2 linked regions of the Schizosaccharomyces pombe genome follow. Changing the gene in region 1 together with any one later gene gives a genetic interaction. Each region holds a gene or a part of one and is shown on either strand. Other genes may lie near its edges.

Region 1 (4,809 bases):
GCTTTGTTGTATTTTTGGTTCATGATCGTTTAACGAAATAAGATAGAAATATTAAATGTGCAAGCAGCAGAAAGATTGTAATGTTAAAGTGGAAAAGAGCCAAGTAGAGATATTGTAGAGGATACGATGTGTTTGATAGGGCGGAATTTTGTATATACTGTTTTTTCAGGTAGAATACAGGGAAAATGCTGAAGCGACGTTTGCAGTGTTGAAGAGATGACAAATACAAGACCTTTACAAAATGCATTCTAGTTTGATTTTTTTTTTTTTTTATAAAGTGAATTTTTTCAAGATTTTATTTTCCTAATTTTATTTTCCTAATTTTATTTTTTATATTTTTAATTATCAATTTTATTTTTATTTTATTTTTTTTATTTTCTATTTATTTTTTTATTTTGCATTGCTCATTCTTTCACCCAGAGTAATCACTAAATTAGTCTTTGTTTACAACAATTTGAACAAACAAGTAAATAAATGAAAATAATATTGTTGTCAGACAAAAAACAAGTTAAAATTAAATAAATAGAAAACTTGTGGCTCATTTGATTCTTAGTTATTCTTTGTTTACCTGCGAATTGTTTTTTATTACAATACCCAACAAGTGTTTTCATGTAAATCATTTCACACTCTGTATATTTTACTTTACATATATATATGTGTGCGAGTTGAATCATTTAGTTTCTATCAAAACTCTTTCTACTGCTCTCCCTCTAGATTCTTAATCGGTTTACTGACTCTTTCCAAGTTCTTAATTTTTTACTGCACTTTTTTTATAGTCTTATTTATTTTTAGTATACTCTTTCTAAAGCCTTATTCGGGTTACTGCCTCTCTATGTCGTCTTTTACTGTCTCTCCCTCTACATCCCTATTCATTTACTGCACTCCTTCCTACTCTCTTTTTCGTTTGCTTCCCCCTCCAAGTTTTGTTTCGTTGCAACAAGGTAGAAACAATTCGAATGGTACCAACAATTCTAGCAATCCATACAGACTCAACACCATACATTTCAAGGGTCGACCTCAGATTACTCAATGAAACTCTTGAAAATCAGAATGATCAACCAATATTCATAAATGCTTACAGCAACTTTTGTCGATTGCTAGCAATGATGCATTTAGGTGAAACAAAGTGTGGTCTAACAATGTTTAAATAAAAGAAAAGAAAGGAAAGAAAAGAAAGAAAAAAATAAAAAAAATACTTGATCTTGATTGTATTTTTATTTTCTTTTCTTTTATTTATTCTATTATTTCTCTTTCTTTTTCTCTGCTATAAAAGTGGCGACCATACTGCAATCGAATGAATGTCCACACTGCAAAAAGTGTATGGAAGAAAGCCCTAGAGTAGAAAAGGAAAGAGAAAAGCGCACAATAAGGAATGTTAAGAATAAGAAAAAAAAAGTTTCAACATACTTTATTTTAATTATTATACTGTGGTTTATTTCCTTATTCCAATTACAACAATGTAATTTACATGCTTATTCTAATTACTACAAAGTGATTTTTATCCTTATTCTAATTACTACACTTGATTCACTTCCTTATTCCAATTACAACGCTATGATTCATCTCCTTATCTCCTCTAATACCCTCCCTCTCCCTCCTTGCTTTACTCTGCGGGCATCCCTCTTCCCCCCCTTCATCACTCCCCTAACCCACTGGAACGTTGGGTTTGTTCGTTTGTGCAATCTTTTCTTATCTTCACATTTCCACCCACTCTTCCATCTCACTAATTCCGCTCCTGGGAGCCGGCAAATCAGCACCTCCTTATCCAATAATACGCAATCCACATGACGCCACCATCGTTGCTAGTCTTTCCATTCTCATCGCTATCGCACGTTCCAGATGTGGCGCCCCTCCTTATTCCTCGCTTTCATTGGCTCTCTCCCCATCCCTCGTTGTGACCGTTTACCAGCGATACCGTATGTCATCATTACCGACCGTGCCTGCGTTTTGGTGGCACTCGATCTTATTTACCTCGCTGCGCATCCCAACGAACGCTTTACCAACACCTCCAACACACTCTCCATCGTATTGCAGTGTCGTGTAGGACTTGCCTTCGTTCAGATCCTTAAATAATTTCATTCAAAATCGGTTTGCATTGCTTTCCTCTGTTTTGCTTTGCCCTGCCTTTGTTGGAAAACCTCTCTTACCTCTTCTACTTGTGTTGACTCACCAGTCAGATCAGCTTGGCTCTACTTGTCTACGACTGGAAGCGTCTTTTCACCTCTACTACAAACTTCTATTCTACTATATACTCTTCTCCTGTTTTGCTTTGCTTTGTTTTCTTTTGCTTAGCTTAGCTTAACTTGACTCGACTCGACTCTGTTTTTTTACCTTGCTTTTATACTGTTCGTCTAGTACATAGTATACTTACTATCTTGTTAGTTCCTCCTATACGATTCGATTGCTTTTCCATCTCGTCTCGTTTTTCTCCTCCTCTCACTTAGCTTTTCTTCTATAAAAGGTCGATTTTCATCCTTCTCCTTTTATATCCAAAGCAAAAGCTTTCTGCGACAACTTTTCCTTTCCTTTCCTTTTCTCTTTTTTTTTTTTAACTATACACCACTCTTCCCCTAGCGGCAATTTGGATTTCGGACAATCGAATCCAAATTCCACCTATAAATTATTCAAGACGGATCCCCTATTTTCTATGGAAGCTCCCAAGATGGAACTGAAGAGCTATAAACGAAAGAATGCTTCGTTATCTCCCAGTTCCTCTCCCGCCAAGGCACAGCGTACTCACTTGTCCTTGGAGGAAAAAATCAAGCTCATGCGCTTAGTCGTGCGTCACAAGCACGAACTCGTCGACCGTAAAACTAGTGAGTTTTACGCCAAGATCGCCCGTATCGGTTATGAGGACGAGGGCCTCGCTATTCATACCGAGTCCGCCTGTCGCAATCAAATCATCTCCATCATGCGCGTCTACGAACAGCGTTTGGCCCATCGTCAACCCGGCATGAAGACCACTCCCGAAGAGGATGAGCTCGACCAACTTTGCGATGAATGGAAGGCCCGTCTCAGCGAGCTCCAACAGTATCGCGAAAAATTCTTGGTTGGCAAGCGCAAGTGTGATTGCAATGATGAAATTAATGAACGTCTCAAGAAGCTCACTGAAGAGCAACAAAACGTCGACATGCTTGTCGCCAAGGTCAACTTTCTCTCCAAACATCTTCACGATAATGAGGAAAAATTAATGCAGGTAAATGCTAAAATGGATGAAGTTCTTGCCGAAAATAAGCGCCTTCAACAACTTCTCGATCATAACGATTTGTTGTCCAAGCTCGAGCCTCCCTCTGCTTACGCTCCCCATGGCGTTAACATGGGCACTAATATGGGTGCCAACATGGGCGCTAATATGAATGCCATTCGTGGCGGTCTCCATTCTAGCATCTCTCCTAATCTTGGTGACCATTAATCCCAACTTTTCCGCCCATCCTCCTCCTACCTGTGAACACACAACCTCTTTTCTTCGAGAATTTCGTTCTCAATCCTTGTTTAACTTATGTTGAGCGGTTGAATATAAATTTTTTTTCTTCTTTACTTTTGACTGACGGTCTGCTTGATGTAAATATCTTTCATTTCTCCCTCTTCCTAGTTGTGTGCAAGGCGAATCATTCGGTAAAGCTGGTTACTTCCTTCCTCGTAGGTATCTTTGCCCCTTTCCAAATAAAAAGGCAACGAAGCCTTTCTGTATGTGCGCTAGTTGGGTTGCTTCTATTTTCTCCGCATTTTCTTGTCTCTTCCGTTATTAAACTAATATTGATTTTTTTTTCTTTCAATCCGGACATATTAAATTCTTTGTTTTTTTTTATTTTTTGTCCTCCTTCAAACAGTTTCGGTGATTGCTTTGTTTTCGCTTTCCACCGCTATTTGCCTTTGCCCTCTTTCCCTTTCGCACTAATTCGTTGTCCTTTTTGCTTTCGTGCTTTATCCCAATTTCGTACGACTATCGTTCTTCCCTTCAAACAAGCTTGAAACAGGTACTGTCATATGTTTTGCAAGCAATCCTCCTTGCACTTTCGGTTGAAGCTTGACGAAAGCCCAATGGTCCCACCCATGCTTTGCTTGTAACGTCACATCATGGTTATCTCTTATTTAGAATAGTTTTTTCCCTTAAATTGGTTTCAGTAGTGTTGGCCATTAGTCGGCCTACTCAATTGAGTTAATGTACAATTAATACAATTTTAAGCGACAGAAATCTATGTATCGTAGCAATCGATAGTTCATGTGCAAGTGGAACAAATATTGAGACATCGTAGTACTCGTGTAAAACAAACAGTCTTGTTAAACGGGAGCTCCTCATAAATGGGATCATCATCCACCACAACAAAAGCTTTGCCGGCCATTTCATACGAAGTGATTGAAATATGGTGAATAGCTAGTTACTATACTTCAGGTGACCAAACAGTGTACTTTTGAATTTCCCTTGTAAAAAAATTTCAAGTCCAAAAATGGCCCCAATACGGAAACAAATTTAAACTGTATTACTTCTATGTGTTAGTTATTCCGTTTGTGCCAACGAATTTAGACCAAACATTGTCGACCGTAACATTTTTAACCACCGTGCCATTACCATCGGGGCCCTTTTCTATCATACAGAGGCTTGTAATACCGCATTTGTCCAGATACGACTTGGCCAAATGATAATTCAAGCCAACTTGATGTGGTCCATGACTATCGTCAGATAAAGTGAGTTGCGCTCCTTGTTCAACCATCAGCTCAAGAAGTCGTTGCTGAGGATACGCAGTCTTCCATCCTTTGCGAAATGCAGAGGTGTTAATTTCAAAGATACCACCATAAGAAACAGCGTAT
Region 2 (7,969 bases), on another chromosome or scaffold:
TATTATTCAAAAGGATCCTGAAAATAAAAAGGCGAAAATCGGTTTGCTTAACAGCATGCTGCAATCGGGGCATTATGAATCTCTTGTTTTGAGTTTAGATTCTTTTATAATCAATGACAACCACGAGTATTCGAAGATGTTAAATTTGGGTATTGAAGCTTCATGGCGTTCGCTATCTATTGATTCGTTAAAAAAGTGTCTTTCAAAAAGCAACTTGGAATCTTTCGAAGCTAAATTGGGTAGCATATTTTACCAATACCTACGGAAGGATTCTTTTGCTGAATTGACGGAGCGGCTGCAACCCTTGTACGTTGATGCTGCTACAGCAATTGCAAACACAGGCGCCCATTCAGCCTATGATTGTTATGATATTTTATCTAAGCTGCACGCAATTAATGACTTTAGTAGGATTGCTGAAACTGACGGAATTGTTTCCGACAATCTTGATATTGTTCTTCGCCGTCGGCTTAGCCAAGTAGCTCCGTACGGTAAATTCAAGCACCAAATCCTGTCCACTCACTTAGTTGGCTATGAAAAATTTGAAAACACGAAGAAAACTGCTGAAATATATCTCGAGATTGCAAGAATATCTCGAAAAAATGGTCAATTTCAAAGAGCCTTCAATGCCATCCTCAAAGCAATGGATTTAGATAAACCGCTAGCAACAATAGAGCACGCACAATGGTGGTGGCATCAAGGGCAACATCGTAAAGCTATTTCTGAATTGAATTTTTCGCTTAATAACAACATGTTTGATTTGGTTGATGAGCATGAAGAAAGACCTAAAAATCGTAAAGAAACTTTAGGAAATCCACTTAAAGGAAAAGTGTTCTTGAAACTTACAAAATGGCTCGGAAAAGCTGGCCAACTGGGATTGAAGGATTTGGAGACGTATTATCATAAAGCGGTAGAGATTTACTCAGAATGTGAGAATACGCATTATTATCTTGGCCATCATCGAGTTTTAATGTATGAAGAAGAACAAAAGCTCCCAGTTAATGAACAGAGCGAACGATTTTTAAGTGGTGAGTTAGTAACTCGCATAATTAACGAATTTGGTCGATCTTTGTACTATGGTACAAATCATATATATGAAAGTATGCCAAAATTGCTCACACTGTGGCTTGATTTTGGGGCCGAAGAACTTCGCTTATCTAAAGATGACGGCGAAAAGTACTTTCGTGAACACATTATCTCTTCGAGAAAAAAATCTTTGGAACTTATGAATTCGAATGTTTGTCGCCTTTCTATGAAAATTCCTCAATACTTTTTTCTGGTTGCATTATCCCAAATGATATCCAGAGTATGCCATCCAAATAATAAAGTTTATAAAATTTTGGAACATATAATTGCAAACGTTGTAGCATCTTATCCTGGGGAGACGCTATGGCAATTAATGGCAACAATAAAATCGACTTCTCAAAAGCGCTCGCTTCGTGGAAAAAGCATTTTAAATGTTTTACATTCTAGGAAGCTTTCTATGTCTTCCAAAGTTGATATAAAAGCACTCAGTCAATCTGCAATTCTCATTACTGAAAAGTTAATCAATTTGTGCAATACAAGGATTAACAGTAAATCTGTAAAAATGAGCTTAAAGGATCATTTTCGGCTTTCTTTTGATGATCCGGTAGATTTAGTCATTCCTGCTAAATCATTTTTAGACATTACTTTACCAGCTAAAGATGCTAACAGAGCTAGTCATTATCCATTTCCAAAAACTCAGCCTACTCTGTTGAAATTTGAGGATGAGGTGGATATAATGAACTCTCTTCAAAAACCAAGAAAAGTGTACGTTAGAGGTACGGATGGCAACTTATACCCATTCTTGTGCAAACCCAAAGATGATCTTCGTAAGGATGCTAGATTGATGGAATTTAATAATCTTATTTGTAAAATATTGAGGAAAGATCAAGAAGCGAACAGAAGGAACTTGTGTATTAGAACTTATGTTGTTATTCCTTTAAATGAAGAATGCGGATTTATCGAATGGGTAAATCATACTCGTCCATTTAGAGAAATTTTGTTAAAAAGCTATAGACAGAAAAACATTCCCATATCATATCAAGAAATCAAAGTTGATTTAGACTTTGCACTGCGAAGTCCTAACCCTGGTGATATATTTGAAAAGAAAATCTTACCGAAATTTCCTCCAGTTTTTTATGAGTGGTTTGTTGAATCTTTCCCAGAACCAAATAATTGGGTTACTAGTAGACAAAACTATTGCCGAACTTTAGCAGTAATGTCAATAGTTGGCTACGTTTTGGGTTTGGGAGATCGCCATGGCGAAAACATATTGTTTGATGAATTTACAGGTGAAGCTATCCATGTCGATTTCAACTGTCTTTTTGATAAAGGTCTTACTTTTGAAAAACCTGAAAAGGTGCCGTTCAGATTAACTCATAATATGGTAGATGCAATGGGTCCGACAGGTTATGAAGGGGGTTTCAGGAAAGCTAGCGAAATAACGATGCGGCTTCTTCGCTCAAACCAAGATACATTGATGAGCGTACTAGAGTCTTTCCTACATGATCCTTTAGTCGAGTGGAATAGAAAGAAGTCGTCAAGCAAGTACCCGAATAATGAAGCAAATGAAGTTTTGGATATAATTCGCAAAAAATTTCAAGGCTTTATGCCAGGGGAGACGATACCTTTATCTATTGAAGGGCAAATTCAAGAATTGATCAAATCTGCTGTCAACCCAAAAAACCTGGTAGAAATGTACATTGGTTGGGCTGCTTATTTCTAGCATTTTACTAACAAAAATTTCAATGAACAAGCTACCCATTATTAAACTTATGATTTGAATCGAAGATATTTTATTTATTAATCCGATGAAGAATTCTCGCTGAGTTGTTCAATTTCTTGTAATTTTCCTTCCATTTCTAAATCGTCGATTCGCTTAAATAGGGCACTGGCTTTTTGTGCATTTTTCTCTCGTAAAGCAGCTTCTGATTGAAAAAAAGCTATATCTGTTTCTGAGTCATCATCCGAATCAACAATATATTTTGCAGATCGTAAATGGTTTTCCTTTTTCTTTCGAGTTGTATGGTCAATAATAGTTTCGTTAGTTTTCATCTTTTTACGTTTTCTGTCAGTAATCTTATTTAACGCTTCTCGACGATTGGCGAAAGTTATAGGATCATCTGCTTCAAATTCAATTTCTTCGTCAGATGTTTCACCCTCACTACTTGATGGTAAACGAACATTTCCTCTTTGCTTCCTCACTAATAAATCTTCGGGCTTGGTGCCTTCAAACGTCGGCGGATCATCAGTAAACCTTCTCAACAACATGGCATGCTCAACAAGTTCATCAATTATAACAGAATTTGGTAATTTCCATAGTGCTTGAACGTCTATATTGTTATCTGATTCTTCGAATCCACATAATTCTAATAATAGACGAAATTTTCCGTCTTTCAAAAGGGCCGTATTAAATGAATCTGTGTCTCCTTTCAAATTCTTCCCCATTCTTTCACCATCATTTCCACCTTCATTTATATATTTGTTCTCGTCAGCTAGCGTTATTAGCTTTCTTTCTGAAATGAGGCAATTAAGTTGAACTTTCAATTCATCTAATAAATCACTTTTGTTTTCATTTATAAGGCATGCAACAACGGCAGCCACCTTTTCCAAATGTGATAAGCCAGGCACCGTCTCGTATAACGGGCCTTTTCTCGAACCATGAATAGAGAAAAGTGGACTTTTTCCATATTCCAGATAATAAAATGTGTCGGTTAATTTTGGGAAAGGCAACTCAATAAAAAGTGCTGGTACATCTTTTAATGCATCTGAAAGCTTTCGCATATAATATACAAAAAATTGTTCAAAATCCTGTCTTGCTGAATTTGTAGTAGAAAAATAGACATGGTCATTAAACATTTTGTCCAGAACACGTAGGAAATCGAGACGATACAAATAAACATGGCATTTTTGCTTCACGAAAATGCGGTAAAAAAAGGAAATAGCCCTATGAATTTGTTTTGAATCCAGATCTTGGTAACATTGAAGGAACAGCACGAAACTATCAATACATCCATTATCACAGTACCTAGACTCATATCTGCCGAAATCAAACAGACGGTCCTCAACGGCTGCATTAGCATTAATCAAGCTGCTTTCTTCATCTTCATCCGATTCCAAGACATTGCTATCAACAGATTTCTGATTTCTCCTTCTCTTTTTCACATAGAGATATTGTTTAGCACTGCTAAATTTCTCAAGCTCCTTTAATAGCACTATAGTTAGCTCAGTTATTGCATCTAAATACCCAAAGGACTGAGTTTTAAAATGCTTTAAAGCGCTATAAACAAGTAAAAGAATTTCCTCTTGGTAAAAGATATTGCTTAGTAGATTATCGGCAATTCTTTGGTAAATTTCTGAGGAACAAAGTGTCATACTTCGAAGAGTGAAAAGTAATTGAGTCATCGAAAGCATGGATGCTTGGAAGGTGCTCCATTGTTTCATTTCAAAGGATTCTACCATTAACCTGTTGTGCATAATCAAAGCTCGTTGGTCAAAAACGGAGGCTGCTAAGCCAAAACTATAATCATTAGAGTAAATTTCTTCTGTTTTTTTTGGTTTAGACGAAAATCTCATGAATTCCAAAAAAAATGACTGAACGTATAATAATTGCATTTTATGAATTGGAAGCACACGAGGATCTTCTCTTTCCAAGTCTTTTAAGAGAGACTGAAATAATGGATTGAATCCAGCTTCCAAAAATTCGACAGCAAAGTTCCTTAATGCAGTACCTGCCTCGGTATTGATAAAGAACGATTTGTTTATGTCATCCTAATATTGTTAGAATAGAATAGTTGAATTGGAAAAAAAAATTTAAACAAACATCGTGTTTAACTAAGTACATACAAAATGTTTTCGACGTGTTCCTCGTTTTCGAAAACGCTTATGAGAGTCAAGCTCATCAAGGCCGTCGGTTTTTATATTTTGGCTAGCAATAGTAAATCTTCTGTCTTCAGTTTGAACAGAAAGCATGGTTCCAAATCTATTATGCCTCGTATGTGCATTTCGTTTCAAATAGCGATTTTGGGTCGACTCTTTGAGGAGTAAGCTATTAAGTTCGGTTTGAGAGTTAGTCAATGAGGCATCAGAGAAAAGGGCTGATGGCTTACAACCTCTGATCAAGTTGTAGACTATTTCTAATATGTAAACATCAAAATGCTCAAATTCATCGAGATTCGAGACCAGTGTGACAATCAAATCTAATATATGAGCTTTCGCAAACGAGATAATTGTTTCATTTTTTGTTTTTAATTCATCGATTTGAAGAATGTTTCGAAATAGTAACAGCACTATCCTGATTATTCCCTTGTCTCTAAGTGTTCTGGATTCTGCGGGAGTACTTAAGGGCTTTAGTAAAACAGCTAAAATGGCGGATAAAACGCTCCCCTTCTTGTAAGATAAAATTGAATTTTTATAATTTGATTGAGCTTGACGCAGATTATAGAGAACATCAACATTTTCTCTGAATGTTTCATGCTCAGTCTCCAAAGGCCATGTTAATGGTACAAGAAGCTCAACACAAGCTAAAGCGATACGCCAGTTTCTGTAATTAGTAATGTCTTTATCCCAGTCAGAGAGTATTGGACATATATCATTAGTTACCAACTGTAAGCTCGAGAGCAAAGATCGAATTTGCCAAACTTTGTACTTTTCATCGACTACTTGAAGATAGCGCTTCAGATCCTTTAGGCAAGCCAAAGCTTCATCACCAAGAACGTACACTTTTTCATCGTCTGAATAGTCAAATCCTCCAATGGCAGAAACAATGCCTTGAATCACCTCATCTAATTCCATTCAAGTTGATTTGTTAAATCAAAAGCTCTCAAGTTCCTTTTTTTTGTATTGTCGGTATGCGTCGATAAATAAACCAAATTTAAGAAATTAAATAAATTTTAATAATTAAGCGATATTAATTATGTTCATGAATAATCGTATTCTTTTAAGATAAGTAAATTTGATTGTAGATACGTGAAGAGGGGTGGTGACAGTAAACAATGAATAATAAATTTTTAAAACAATATTTAACTTTTCAAAATAACTTGGATTTTTAAAAAAATGTGTGTAAAGTAAAACACTTTATAATTTAAATCGCATTAAAATGGCATTCAGTATTATATTATAAAATTCGATAATATGGACTCAACAAAACGAATTTGCTACCTAACTTGTACAATGCATAATTAGAATTTAGTTTCAATAATTTTCACAATTTCAGATGTAGAAATTTAGAGTTTATTATTTTCAGAATGATTAAGCAGCAAATCTTTAATAACAATATAAAGAGATGCATTCTCTACTACAAAATTCTAAAAATTCTGCGTCAAATTCAACATTTCCTCTATTTTGTAAAATTGTAAAACAACGTAATAAATTGTTACAGGACTCATTCATAAAGACTATTTACACTTTATTTAATATAGAATATATATATGATGCGGCAGAAAAGCAATTTGAACGTTTGGGACTGTCACCTACCAGAAACTACACCAGCCAATATAGCACAAGCATAGGTTCTCTATAGAGGTTGCTTGTAAAATCAGCTTCTCTACTTGACTTGGTACATCCAATTGCTGTTGGGGTTTGAAATCCCGACCAGTAAGTTTATTGGACACACGATTAAGAACGGTTATAGCTCTTTGATTGAGTATCTCGGGTTTTTGACGTTCTTCAAGTGTAATTCCTTCTTCGTTTAAGCGTTTCCGGTGTAAACCATCAATTGTCTCACCGAGAAGTGTATTAGGTTCGTTAGATTGCTTTTCATCGATAGAAGGTGAATATGCAGGAGCAAGGCGCCAGTTAATAAGAGGATCGTAAACGAAAGCTTCTAAAACTGCCATCACAGACTCCTTATTAGTACGAAGAACTCGCATAACATGTTCGCATGTTATCCGGAACGTCCCCTCTATACCACTAACTTCCATTGCGTTAACAAGCATTCGCGTAAGGCGGAAAGGAATCTTCTCGGGAAACTTTTCTCGATGCATTGCTACTTCAAAACAATCTCCAAAATCGATATGGATGATATTACCTGTATACCTGTCCAGCATCAAATTGGAAGGATGACGATCGCCCAAACCTAAGATGTACCCTACCATTGACATCACCGCAAGAGTACGAGAATAGTTAGTTCGCCTATTAAGCCAAGCTTCTGAGCTACGACTCTTCAGCCATAAAACGCGGTATAAATCCTGCCCCGTAGTACTAAGTAGGGCATATTCAAAGACTTCAACTTTCTGAAGGAGAGTGAGACGATCGTAATCTGGAGCCATCTGAATGATCAACCTATGTTCTATGTTGAGTAAAATCTTTCTGCTTTCTCTGTAGTCACGAATTAAGACATGCAAAGTATCGCTATCCAAAACCCAGCCTAAAAGGCCTGAATCCGGTGATAAAGGAATCACTGGATACCTTTGGATTGAAAGTAAGCGCTTAAAAGTTTCCGGGTCAGCTAGTAACAGATTGTTACAAAGCCCAAATAGCTGCATAACACGTTCATCTTGTCTGATGTCCTCGTGACCCTTTAAAACATATTGATAATCTTTTCCATCACTGCCTTTAATACTCAGTCGTCTCGGACGTTGCTTAGATGTTATCACGTTGAATGTAGGGTAAAACTTTACAATTCTTATAACAGGTTTCCCGCTAACGTATGTTCCCGGAACAGCTAACTCAAGATCATGTACATGTAAGAGTTTAGGAGAAACGTATTGTAAATCTAATGTTGTCAACTGAGGTAGCTGTTTACGAATTTTCTTGAAAACTTGGTAATATAAGTCCCAGGCCTGATTTAAGTCTGATATATCACCAGTTTGCTCAAAACGGATACAACAATCCCTTGCTTCGACTAAGTCACGTCCAAAGGCTTGTTGGAAAGAAATTTCACGAAGCGTTTCCGGACCACGTTCCAACATTTCATGCAATGGTCTCAACACGGCAAACATACCCTCAA

Evidence for each region. Genes that interact genetically often act in the same process or in processes that back each other up.
Region 2: of sap1 (region 1) and swi1, extra expression of one rescues a mutant of the other (dosage rescue), as found in Schizosaccharomyces pombe (one study listed by BioGRID).

What each region holds. Positions count from the first base shown.
Region 1 is NC_003421.2:560,956-565,764, reverse strand, and holds sap1 (switch-activating protein Sap1), read left to right. Parts: upstream 1-1,998; 5' UTR 1,999-2,647; coding exon 2,648-3,412; 3' UTR 3,413-4,189; downstream 4,190-4,809. Other genes in the region: SPOM_SPCC1672.01 (histidinol-phosphatase), read right to left, coding at 4,488-4,809. UniProt on the Schizosaccharomyces pombe protein: Binds to sequences required for mating-type switching. Makes a simultaneous contact with both the alpha and beta domains of the switch-activating site SAS1.
Region 2 is NC_003423.3:908,780-916,748, forward strand, and holds the start of swi1 (replication fork protection complex subunit Swi1), read right to left. Parts: upstream 6,001-7,969; 5' UTR 5,815-6,000; coding exon 4,867-5,814; intron 4,851-4,866; exon of another isoform or gene 4,792-4,850; coding exon 2,824-4,791; 3' UTR 2,747-2,823; coding exon of another isoform or gene 1-2,746. Other genes in the region: ATR checkpoint kinase Rad3, read left to right, coding at 1-2,746; TORC1 serine/threonine protein kinase Tor2, read right to left, coding at 6,492-7,969. UniProt on the Schizosaccharomyces pombe protein: Forms a fork protection complex (FPC) with swi3. FPC coordinates leading and lagging strand synthesis and moves with the replication fork. It is required for programmed fork-pausing which is necessary for mating-type switching.